2 linked regions of the Arabidopsis thaliana genome follow. The protein of the gene in region 1 purifies or fractionates together with the protein of each later gene. This does not show direct contact. Each region holds a gene or a part of one and is shown in the gene's direction. Other genes may lie near its edges.

The links.
Region 2: the proteins of AT3G22520 (region 1) and AT2G01710 fractionate together in Arabidopsis thaliana (co-fractionation; one large-scale study listed by BioGRID). This does not show direct contact.

Annotation. Positions count from the first base shown.
Region 1 is NC_003074.8:7,972,746-7,979,179, forward strand, and holds AT3G22520 (spindle assembly abnormal protein), read left to right. Parts: upstream 1-1,974; 5' UTR 1,975-2,078; intron 2,079-2,217; 5' UTR 2,218-2,238; coding exon 2,239-2,297; intron 2,298-2,831; coding exon 2,832-3,376; intron 3,377-3,462; coding exon 3,463-4,661; 3' UTR 4,662-5,028; coding exon of another isoform or gene 5,029-5,625; 3' UTR 5,626-5,903; downstream 5,904-6,434. Other genes in the region: ATECP31 (Seed maturation protein), read right to left, coding at 1-120; AT3G22510 (Pre-rRNA-processing protein TSR2, conserved region), read left to right, coding at 799-1,030, 1,117-1,205, 1,289-1,342; AT3G22530 (heat shock protein), read right to left, coding at 5,029-5,625.
Region 2 is NC_003071.7:313,622-317,493, forward strand, and holds AT2G01710 (Chaperone DnaJ-domain superfamily protein), read left to right. Parts: upstream 1-2,026; 5' UTR 2,027-2,082; coding exon 2,083-3,150; 3' UTR 3,151-3,372; downstream 3,373-3,872. Other genes in the region: AT2G01720 (Ribophorin I), read right to left, coding at 3,572-3,697.

The DNA of each region.
Region 1 (6,434 bases):
GGATTGCATCATCTTTGCATCCTCAGGTGCTATGGGCTTATCAGCGAGTTCACCGGAGACTTCAAAAACGTCCCCGTATTTGACTGGCTCTCTTGGCCTCCTTGGTTGCTCTTGGCTCATCTTTGTTTTGTTACGTTAATGTTCTGTTACAAACTACGATAACTCCTACCTGAATTGAGTGTCTATTATATAAAGAGAGGTGCATGAGTATGGGATCAACGTTCTGAGATTTTGACACTTACTCGTAGATGAGGTGACTAGGACACTCGTGTCAGTTTGCGAGTTTGTAGCTAAAAAGATAAAGCTTAGATTGAGATAGGGATTTTACTTTTCTTTTTGTAAATTTGTCATTTAGTTTTAAGAGTGAATGAAAAAGGACATGTTTCCAACGTTACCACATATGAGTCGTATAACATTGGACACGTTTGTTTCAATATTTGTTTTTGTTCTTGTAGACACGTTTCAATTTTAAGACAAACATAACAGAAAAGTCAAATGTTGGAAACAAAGGTCACCAATATGTCGGAAGTCAAATAACAAATCTTTGTCGGTCTAACAAAACTCATAAACTTCCCCTAACTCTTCGGATCTCTCTAGATCCTTGTTTTTCGTTGCCTTAATTATCTTTCTCTTCTCTTATTTCATGTTAGAAAACAGAGTATACAACAGAAAACACAATCGTTTATTTTTGTTCTCTGTGTTCCCATACACAAAATCTTCCAGCTTCTGTTTCTCCGTTTTGTTCAACGGAGTTACAAAGCGGAAGAACCTTTGCCTTCGGCCTGAAAGACCAAAGATATGGGAACTGGTGGAATAACGTCCAACGCTCACGTGGTCTCTCCCACGTGGCATCACAAGCACGTGCCTCCTATGGATGACGACTCTGTTCTTCAAAGAGACATCGGAGAGCTTCTTTCACGGTGGGGCGGGCTTCAAATGGCCGTAAAGAACCAGTGGGGAGGCCATGATTCTCTCAAGAAATCTCAAGAGCTAGCTCACAATCTTTTTCATCTCATCTCTCAATCAAATGGTTCGATTTTCTTTTTACTTCTTTAGATTTTATGTTATGATCATGAATATATTGATAGTTTGATTCCAACATTATGATATGAGCAGTGATTACGGTGGAAGAAATAGAGAATTTGCTACATGAAAGCTTGCTTCTTTCTTTCAACACAGAGATTGAAGATGGCAGCATTGAAGAGGTACGTACTATTTCTTGAAAATGTAGACGATCAATTTACTTGTGAATTATGTCGACTAATCTTTCATCGTGTGATTTCGTCAGGTAGCTGAACAATTGATGATACTCCATGAAGAACATTTACGTGGGACTCTTTAAGCAGTAGCTTGAACGATTTATATCATTTTTGGTGTATAATTAGATCAATGTAAGATACAAAGAATTGAAAATTGGGTGGACAACAAAATATTATTCATCAGAAATCATAGAATATAGGAATACGTATCAAAATCTATGTTTATTTGATGTAATCATTTTGTAGTTGTGATGAACAGTTTTTCCTAATGTAATTTCAAATTAACCAGTAAGACACTCCATCATGATTAATGTGGGGAATATGGACCGAGTGACCGATACCACGTAGAAAATATATATCTAAATTTTCCAATATAATGCAACAAAATTCATATTGAAGCAAAAACTCCATGTAATTTGGATTCTTGACAATTTTATTATGGTCAAATCATGTGTGTAATATGCAAATAAAAACTAGAGAGATGGCAATAACATCATTAGTATGAACCACTAGGCTATAAATTGGTCAAAGTAGAAATGGTGCAAATGAAAGACTAATTTACGTGAGTGCGATTACGGTAAAATCGGTCATTAAAGACAAAAAGACTTACCGTACAACAAGTCATTTACATGAAAACCAAAAAAAAAAAAAAAAAACCCTCCAAAAAGGGATTGTCCAACATAAGGGCACAATAGTCAATTTCAAGCGATTCCTCGTTTATTCGTGTTTCATCTTGATCTCAGCTAGAGGAGGAACTAAACCACATCTACAGAGTCAGAAAATAAAAAGTAGAAGAAGCAGAAGCGAGAGTGCAAAAAGGTTAGATCTGCTTTCAAAATTGTTCGTACTGCTTCTTTACCACATAAAGTTCATAGCTTTTTACGTTTCTACCGATAATTTTGCATTCCGAATTCTCCATTTTCTCAATTTTGCTTAAATGGGTGTTTCTCTTCTGCAGGAAATTAGGTTTTGAGTGGTCATGTCTGCTCCTATCTATTCTCCGATAGATATGCAAGAGATTGTTCAAAATCCTCCTGGGTAATTCTTCTTTTCTGATAACTATGTTATAAATGTGAACAAAAACTTGTTTTGTCTCTGGTTTGTTTTGGTTATCCTGTGTCTGAATCTTTGCTTTGATTTCTTGAACAACTTAGACCTTTTGATGGGTTTATGTCCGGAAATGAGACCAAATTAGTGTTTAGCTGATATCTGTTCAAAATTCTGACCTAAGCACAAAAAGTTCTTGAGTTTAGATGAGAGAAGATTAAATTGTTTAGAGGAACATTTTTGTCTTTGGGAATTGTGTGAAACTTACGTTGAGCAAAAGTTAGGGTTCTTATTCTAATTGCTGCTACCATAAAGGATGTGTCTTTAGGGTTTGAAGTCTCCATATTTTGTTATTCATTATGCCTGAGTATGCTTGTTTCAACACTACGGTATAATGAAGTGTATAATACATTGTTTGTCTACATGTTTTAATGGTGCTACGGAGAAGGCAAATGATTTGTGTTTGTTGTTTGTTTTGTTTATCACACTTCTCTTTCATCTTCTCTAGTGTTGATTTGCATGCAGGTTTGATACGGAACCAGTCCCAATCAGTACTTACCGAGACAATGAACCTGTCCCGCTTTCAACTTACCGAGAAAATGATTCAGATCATCTCGACGCCACTCAGCAAGAGAACGATGACTTTTGGGAAAACGGTTTCAGTAGGGAAGAGGCCATTGAAGATCCAGAGCCTTCTCAGGCAAAGGAAAATGGAAAGAGAAGTGTAGACAACAGCGCTTTCACTCATGGGGAAACTGATCTCAATCAACTTCCTGCGATTCCTCCGGTTTCAACTGGTCAAGGTTTGCCGTATGCCCCTGTTGATTGGCCAAGCCCTGGTGATGTATGGACTTGGAGAGTTGGGAGGAGAGTGACTGCTATGGGGTATCATCAGGATAGGTTTCTTATTCTCCCTCAAAGGCTTCAGCAAAAGCATGTCCCAAAGTCTTTCGCAAGCAAACCCCAACTTGCTCGTTATCTCGAATCGGATTTCCCTGGCATGGATGCTGATGCATTCTTTGCTTCTTTTAGCTGGAAGGTTCCAGCTCTCTTCCAGCCTGCAAATAAAGGTGATTTTATAGCTTTCCAAGAGAGGTTAAGATTTTGCAGATGTTCATAGATGAACGTAATCAGTGATATCATTACTCTTTTGTAGTTGATGCTGCGTCTCTTTTTGAGGAGACACCGAAGGAAGTACAGACTGAGGTTGGCCAGAATGATGAGAATGCTCAGGATGGGAAAGGAAATTCTCGATACAGCCAAAGGAAGAGAAAGCCAATGCCGACGCCACAAACTTATGAACCTGTTGAAGCGAAACCAAAATCAACTCCCCGAGGTAGCAGCAACAAGAAGAAGAAAGGAGCCACAACTCCGGCTACTGGACCTCAATCCTCTACCAAACCAAAACCATCTCGACAATCAGGAAGACGTACCTCGATCCAGCAGCGCGGTGGTGCTGTGGACTTGAACTTCCTGAATGAGGAGGAGAGTGAACCTGCTACTGCACCAAAGACTAGTAACAAGAGAAAGAAGCGTGGAGTTAACTATGAGGAAGAAGATGTTTCTATTCCCCATATTTATGTCTCTCCTATGAATGGGGTCCTCGCTGTCTCACACTCGCCTATCGATGTTAACCCGGAAGAGTTTGATAGCTATCTGAACTCTCTTGATAACTTGATGCAGCAACCTCCAGAAGAGGTTGGGCGAGACTCGTCTGTTCTTGTTAGTGTAAGCTCTCCAATGAGAGAATACGAATGGGCTGAAGCCCGAATGAAGATCTCATCTCTCCTGGAGAAGGATTTTACTACTTTGTTCCTCTCCAAGGACGCAGCAGAGATAGCAGCATTAGCAACTAAACTAAGGAAAGATCCAAACCTTACTGCTGAAGAGATAGTTAGGTTGAAGCTGATGGAAGAGATTCCGACCTTCAGCGAAGTGTTCCAAGAGAACAAAGGGGTGATTGAAGAAGCAGATAGGTTCTTCTCTGCTCTGGAACTCAACAAAGCCAAGGTAGCATCGCTTAAATACGAATACAGCGACCTGAAGGAAAAACTAGGAAGTATCCAAATGGAAGTAGACACAAACTCTGAGACAATCCGTCAAATCGATGACCAAATCGCTCAACTTCAAGCCAGACGGTCTGAATTGAAGCGGTACATCGGGACCAAGGAGAAAGAGAGGGTTGATCTAAGCTATGGTCAAAAAATGGTAGCGAACTCAATCCCGAAAGTCGTACAGGAAGTTCAATCAGCTAATTTGAAGAAGCCTGAATGGGAATGCAAGAAAGACAATGCGCTTAAACGTGAAGCAGAGATCCTCTCTAAATTCACTCCTCTCAAAGGCTTCTTCCTCTAAATCTAGCCTCCTCATGTATCCCCGATAACCTTTAGCTAGTCTTGTTGTGTCATGTAGCTTTTTGGTTTATGTTGCAAGAGTCTTGAAACCTATTTTAGACTTGGCCTTTTGTCTATTTCATGTAATGTTGTACTATGGAAACTATCCGTTAGTTGATGAAAAGAATTAGACCTTTTTGTGCTTTCGTTATCTTGTTTGATACAACCTTAAACAACCCTTGTTGATCTTACAAAATAAGAGATCATCAAAGATTCAATCTTTTCTTTTATTGCCAACAACAAAAACAGAAGGCTACACAATATCAACGAAACGAAGAAGATTAGAGATTAGTCTTCTTCTCATGTTACATAGAGGACATTACTTTGATTCACTGAACAAGCACAAGCCTTCCACTACCAATACCTTGTCCAAAATCACCACCACCACCATCATCATCTTCTTCTTCAGCATTCTTAGGCACAGTAACAATCAAATCACCATCAACACAAGCAACAGTAACAAGCTCAGGCCTAGTTGATTCCGGTAACCTAAAACGCCACACGTCAAGCTCTAATTCGTCTAAAGACAAACCAAGAGAAGAAGACCCATTTGTCCTCACAACGATCTTGGTTATACCAGGATGAATCTCAACCATATAAGCCCTCATTTCTCCATCGCCGTTACAGAGACCTACCGTCTCCGCCACAAATCGAAAACAGTCGTGTCTCTCTTCCACTGCTACATCTGCTTCTGACCTCAATGGTAGCTCCAGAACACGGTTGAAGATATGTGGTAATCGTCGGAGATTCTTTCCGGGTTCTCGGGTCGGGTTATGATGATGATGATGGATCAATGTGTTGTTGATGTTTCTGGGAATTGGGTGCACTCTCATAGCTTCTGGGTTTGGTTTATCGATCGATTGGATCAAATTCAGTAACAAGAGATATGAGAAAAGTGATTGAATCTTTACGGGAATCAAAATCATAAAAAACACGAGAGAACCCTAAAACACAAATCAGCAAAATGTTAGATTTTTGTAATCAAAATCTGTATTTGGGATTGGATTTAAACGGATTAAAGAGATTAGAAAGTGAAAGAGGAAAGCTTTATTAGGAGGATTTGAAGCAATGGAAGAGACAAGAAAAGATTGCGTCTTTCCTTTTTTATGAATGGGTGCGAAGGCGGTAGCAAGAAGAAGGAGGATCGGAAATGAGATAAGGGCATTTGAAAATTTACCAAACTACCCCTCTTTTTAATTGTATTTTGTTACATCTTCAGTTTTAATTTCAAAGTTGGATTATGCGATTTATTTCGGGGAAAATGTCAAAAAAAGCGCGAACTTTCAAATTTGGGACGAAAAAAGCATGAACTTTCGAAATGTCATTTAATTCACAAAGTTTCGTTTGACTTTTTTAAAAAAATGTCAAGTTTCGTTGACTTGACCATTTTGGGCACGTCGTTAAATTTCCGTTAACAGCGTTAATTTTCTATTAAAAAATTCTGTTAAATCGAAACGACGTCGTTTTTAGATCTCCAAAACGACGTCGTTTCATTAGAAAATAATGATGCAAAATCTGCGTCCACAAAGACTCGAACATATGACCTACTGGACTCATATGGGGCAATATACCGCTGAGTTACGACAATAATTTACAATAATAACAAACATTGCATACATATACTAACAAATATAATATACTATTAATTAAAAATATATGCAATAAATTAAAAATAACAAAATTAAAAAAAAAACTAAAAATATTAAATAAACTTACCTTAATATATTTTAAATTT
Region 2 (3,872 bases), on another chromosome or scaffold:
TTATTTCAACGGCAAAGACGAAAACAATCAGATCTGGTCAAAAACGATGAACTCATCTGTGGCTACCATAGTTACTCGGTTTCTCCAATTCGATTTCTGCACAAACTAATTTCTGATCTTTTTTTTTTATTAATTTGTTTTTCTTTCTTAGTGGATTTGTTTTTTGGTCACAAGTGATGTCTTTAAAAAACAAGGAAAAAAAACTAATAAAGAAGACAAGTGAAAAGTGCGTGATCACTGTATCAAATGACAACTTCACCCTTAATGTTAGTAGCAGCTAACCGGGGTAATATTGGTATTTACTAGAGTGGTATTTTTTACAATTTTAGGTTACAGTATTTGGTTATATTAATTTTTCTATTTTGAAACATTAGCTAAAACATGATTATTCTTTATTTATTCACATCACATTGAAAAGTAAATAAATTGTAGTTGGAAATAATATCATTTCTTCATATCAATATGAATATTATTATCAATATTGATAATTATATTTTTATTTTTAACATTTTTATAACATCTTCAAACACATACATTATTTCAAATACCATTAGATATTATATTATTATTTTAAACATTTATTATTATTTCATATCATGCTTTTTTATAGGTGACTTAAATATGGACTTTGTTTCCAATAATATAGTTATATCAAATTTTATTTTTTAAACATTTAATATCATTTCTTATCATGCTTTCATTGCTTTTGTTTATAGTTTGAATGAACGAAAAGAAAAAACGATAATCATGTTTTATTTGTAAAGTTTGTTGTGAGTAGTATTGCAAATAAATTTAATATTTTATTCGGCCGGCAAACGTTACAAATAAAAAATAATTATTATTTCCATTTTATTTGTACTATGTACAACAAATAAATAAATTATGGTAAGAGATAATATTAAATGTTTTTATAATTTTCATGTTTTATTTGTATTATTTTGTGAGTGAATCAAAGATGAACTTTTGTTTTGGTAGGTAGTCATAGATGAACTTTATTTCTGATTTTTTTTTTTTTTTTGTCAACAGATTTTATTTAGAGCTCAAAAGAGCCAATTGTGAGGAAAATTATTTATAAAAGTGACATGAAGCGGTTCAATATGAATTTTTCGTGCCAATTTGTCCGCCTTTACATTTGCAGTTCGAGAAATTAAAGATAAAGAAAACTTTGTGAATTCCTCCTTATATCGGTCTTTAGTTCCTCCAAATAAGTTGAAAACGCTGGTCATTCGGTTGGAGAAGACACCATCTTCACCAAGTCTGAATAGTCTGTAAAAAATGCTACTTCTTGGTTGTCGGCACCAATCATACACTTCATCGACCAAAGTAGTGCTTCGACTTCTGTATGGAGTGGATAAAGACTTCTACGAAGATTAGCAGCTCCCATGGTTGGCGAGTCTCCATTTGATGATCTGCAAAACCACCCTAATCCAGAAAACTTATCGCTTCCTTTCCAAGATCCGTCCACAAAACAACGCAAACCAGAATAAATATTATCGTGTGATATATTCTGAACCCGAATTTGTTTTTTCGATCCCATGGAACCGTTATTTTTGGTATTGAGCTCAAATTGAGCTAACTGCCATAATTCTGCCTCTTTTTCTGTTAAACATAATACGTCTAACTTTATTTCCGATATTCTTAGCTCTAGAAAATTTTCATTCTTAAAACATTTAATATTATCTTGACCATATATTTTTTAGTTATGTTGTCTGAATAAGATGAATAAACAATAATTATGTCTCATTTATAAATTATAACTCTCTAGTGAGTCAAATACCGACTTTATTTCCAATATACTATAGTAATTTTTCCTTTTATTTACCTTTTTAATGTAGTGTTAATAAAACCAATAAAGTATATAATCATATTATTTTTGTAACTGGTGACACAAAGCTGGATTTTATTTGCAATATTATAAATATGGCGAAATAGGAAACGAATTGTAAGTAGGTAACATTATAAAAGGGTGAAAAATAATAACATAAAATAAAATTGTGAAAAATAATAACATAAAAATGAAGAAATGATTTTATTACTAAATAAATTTGGTAACAAATAAAGTTTTAGTTTCCGTTTACTCCAATGTTACTATTTTTTTTCCCCCGACCATTTTTACACACAGCCAATCAGAGCCTTGTTTCATCGTCTCTTGTCGAGGCGATAATATTTAGATCTGCTCACCATTTCTCCGCCATCGCCGACGGAAGAAGAAAGATGGGAGACAACAACCCTAACCGATCAGAAGCAGAACGTCTTCTCGGAATCGCGGAGAAGCTTCTCGAGTCACGAGATCTAAACGGTTCAAAAGAGTTTGCAATCTTAGCTCAAGAGACAGAGCCACTCCTCGAAGGCACCGATCAAATCCTCGCCGTCGTCGATGTCTTACTCTCATCAGCACCAGAGAATCGTATCAAAAACCAACCAAACTGGTACAAAATCCTTCAGATCGAAGATCTAACTGAATCATCAACAGACAACGATCTAATCAAGAAACAATACCGTCGTCTTGCTCTTCTTCTCCACCCTGACAAAAACCGTTTCCCTTTCGCCGATCAAGCTTTCAGATTCGTGCTTGATGCATGGGAAGTTCTATCAACACCTACGAAGAAATCTCAATTCGATGGAGATTTGAATCTCATCTTCACTAAAGTAAATCTCAACACTCAGAAATCGAAGAAGAAAACAACAACGAATGAGAAGATGTCTACGTTTTGGACGGCGTGTCCGTACTGTTACAGTCTTCATGAGTATCCTAGGGTTTATCAAGAGTATTGTATTAGATGTCAAAACTGTCAAAGAGCGTTTCACGCTGCGAGTATTCCTCAGTTGCCTCCGTTGATACCTGGTAAAGATGAGTATTATTGTTGTTGGGGTTTTTTTCCGATGGGGTTTGTTGGTGGTAAAGGAGGAGAAGCTGCCATTGCTAATGGAGTAGATGCAGCTAAGTTCCCTAATTGGATGCCTCCGGTTTTCTCATCCGGCGGCGTTGCAGCTCCTCCAAGTGGTAATGGTGTTAGTTTTGATGGATGGTCAGGTGGTGCGGCGAAGAGAGATAATGAGGCTGTGAGGAGTAATAATGGTGTTGGAGTTAATTCAGATGGAACACCGAAGAAGAGAGGAAGAGGAAGGCCGAAGAAGAATCCGGTTTAGTGATCTCTTTTCAAACTCCGGTCATGATTGTTAAAATTATGGAGACAAAATTTTAAAGGCAAGTTTTTTTTAAGGCAAGGAAGTTTAGGATCAGCGTTTGTTGTCTTAGTGTAAACTTTATTATGCATTTGTTGTTATTACCGTTGTGTAATTGTGTTATCTTGATTTACTTTGAAACATTTTCCTCATTACATAATTTGGCAATTCGCTCTTTTCCACTTCACTTGTTGGATGGATTAAACACTTTAGATTCTCTGTAAATAAAATTGAGGAAAAATCAAGATTGGAGAGCAAAGTAGTGTCAAAGATATAACTCTACTAAAAGCAGCAACACCTACAAAGTTTAGTTCTTCAAGTGATGATCAAAAGTATTTTCTTTTACGAGTCTATAAGTGAAAGCGAAGGACTGTTGATAAGACTTCTACTTCCTGACGATATTGAGATCGATGTGTACATACGCAAGCGAAGCCACAAATACTAAGAAGAAAGCCGATACAAGCATGAATGGTTCCGCTAGCATGTATATTGGTTTGAATGTATAGTACACCTGCAAAATCGTCACACATGTTAAGCAATTTTGTAACTTATGGAACAAAATGAGCCTATTGCTAATAACACTAATACACTCAGATTTTTAGGGTTCTTCTAATACTACTACACATAGCAGAAAGAAAGGAATTGGCTCATTATGGTGATATAGTTAAGTCTGTGGAAATTGCTAG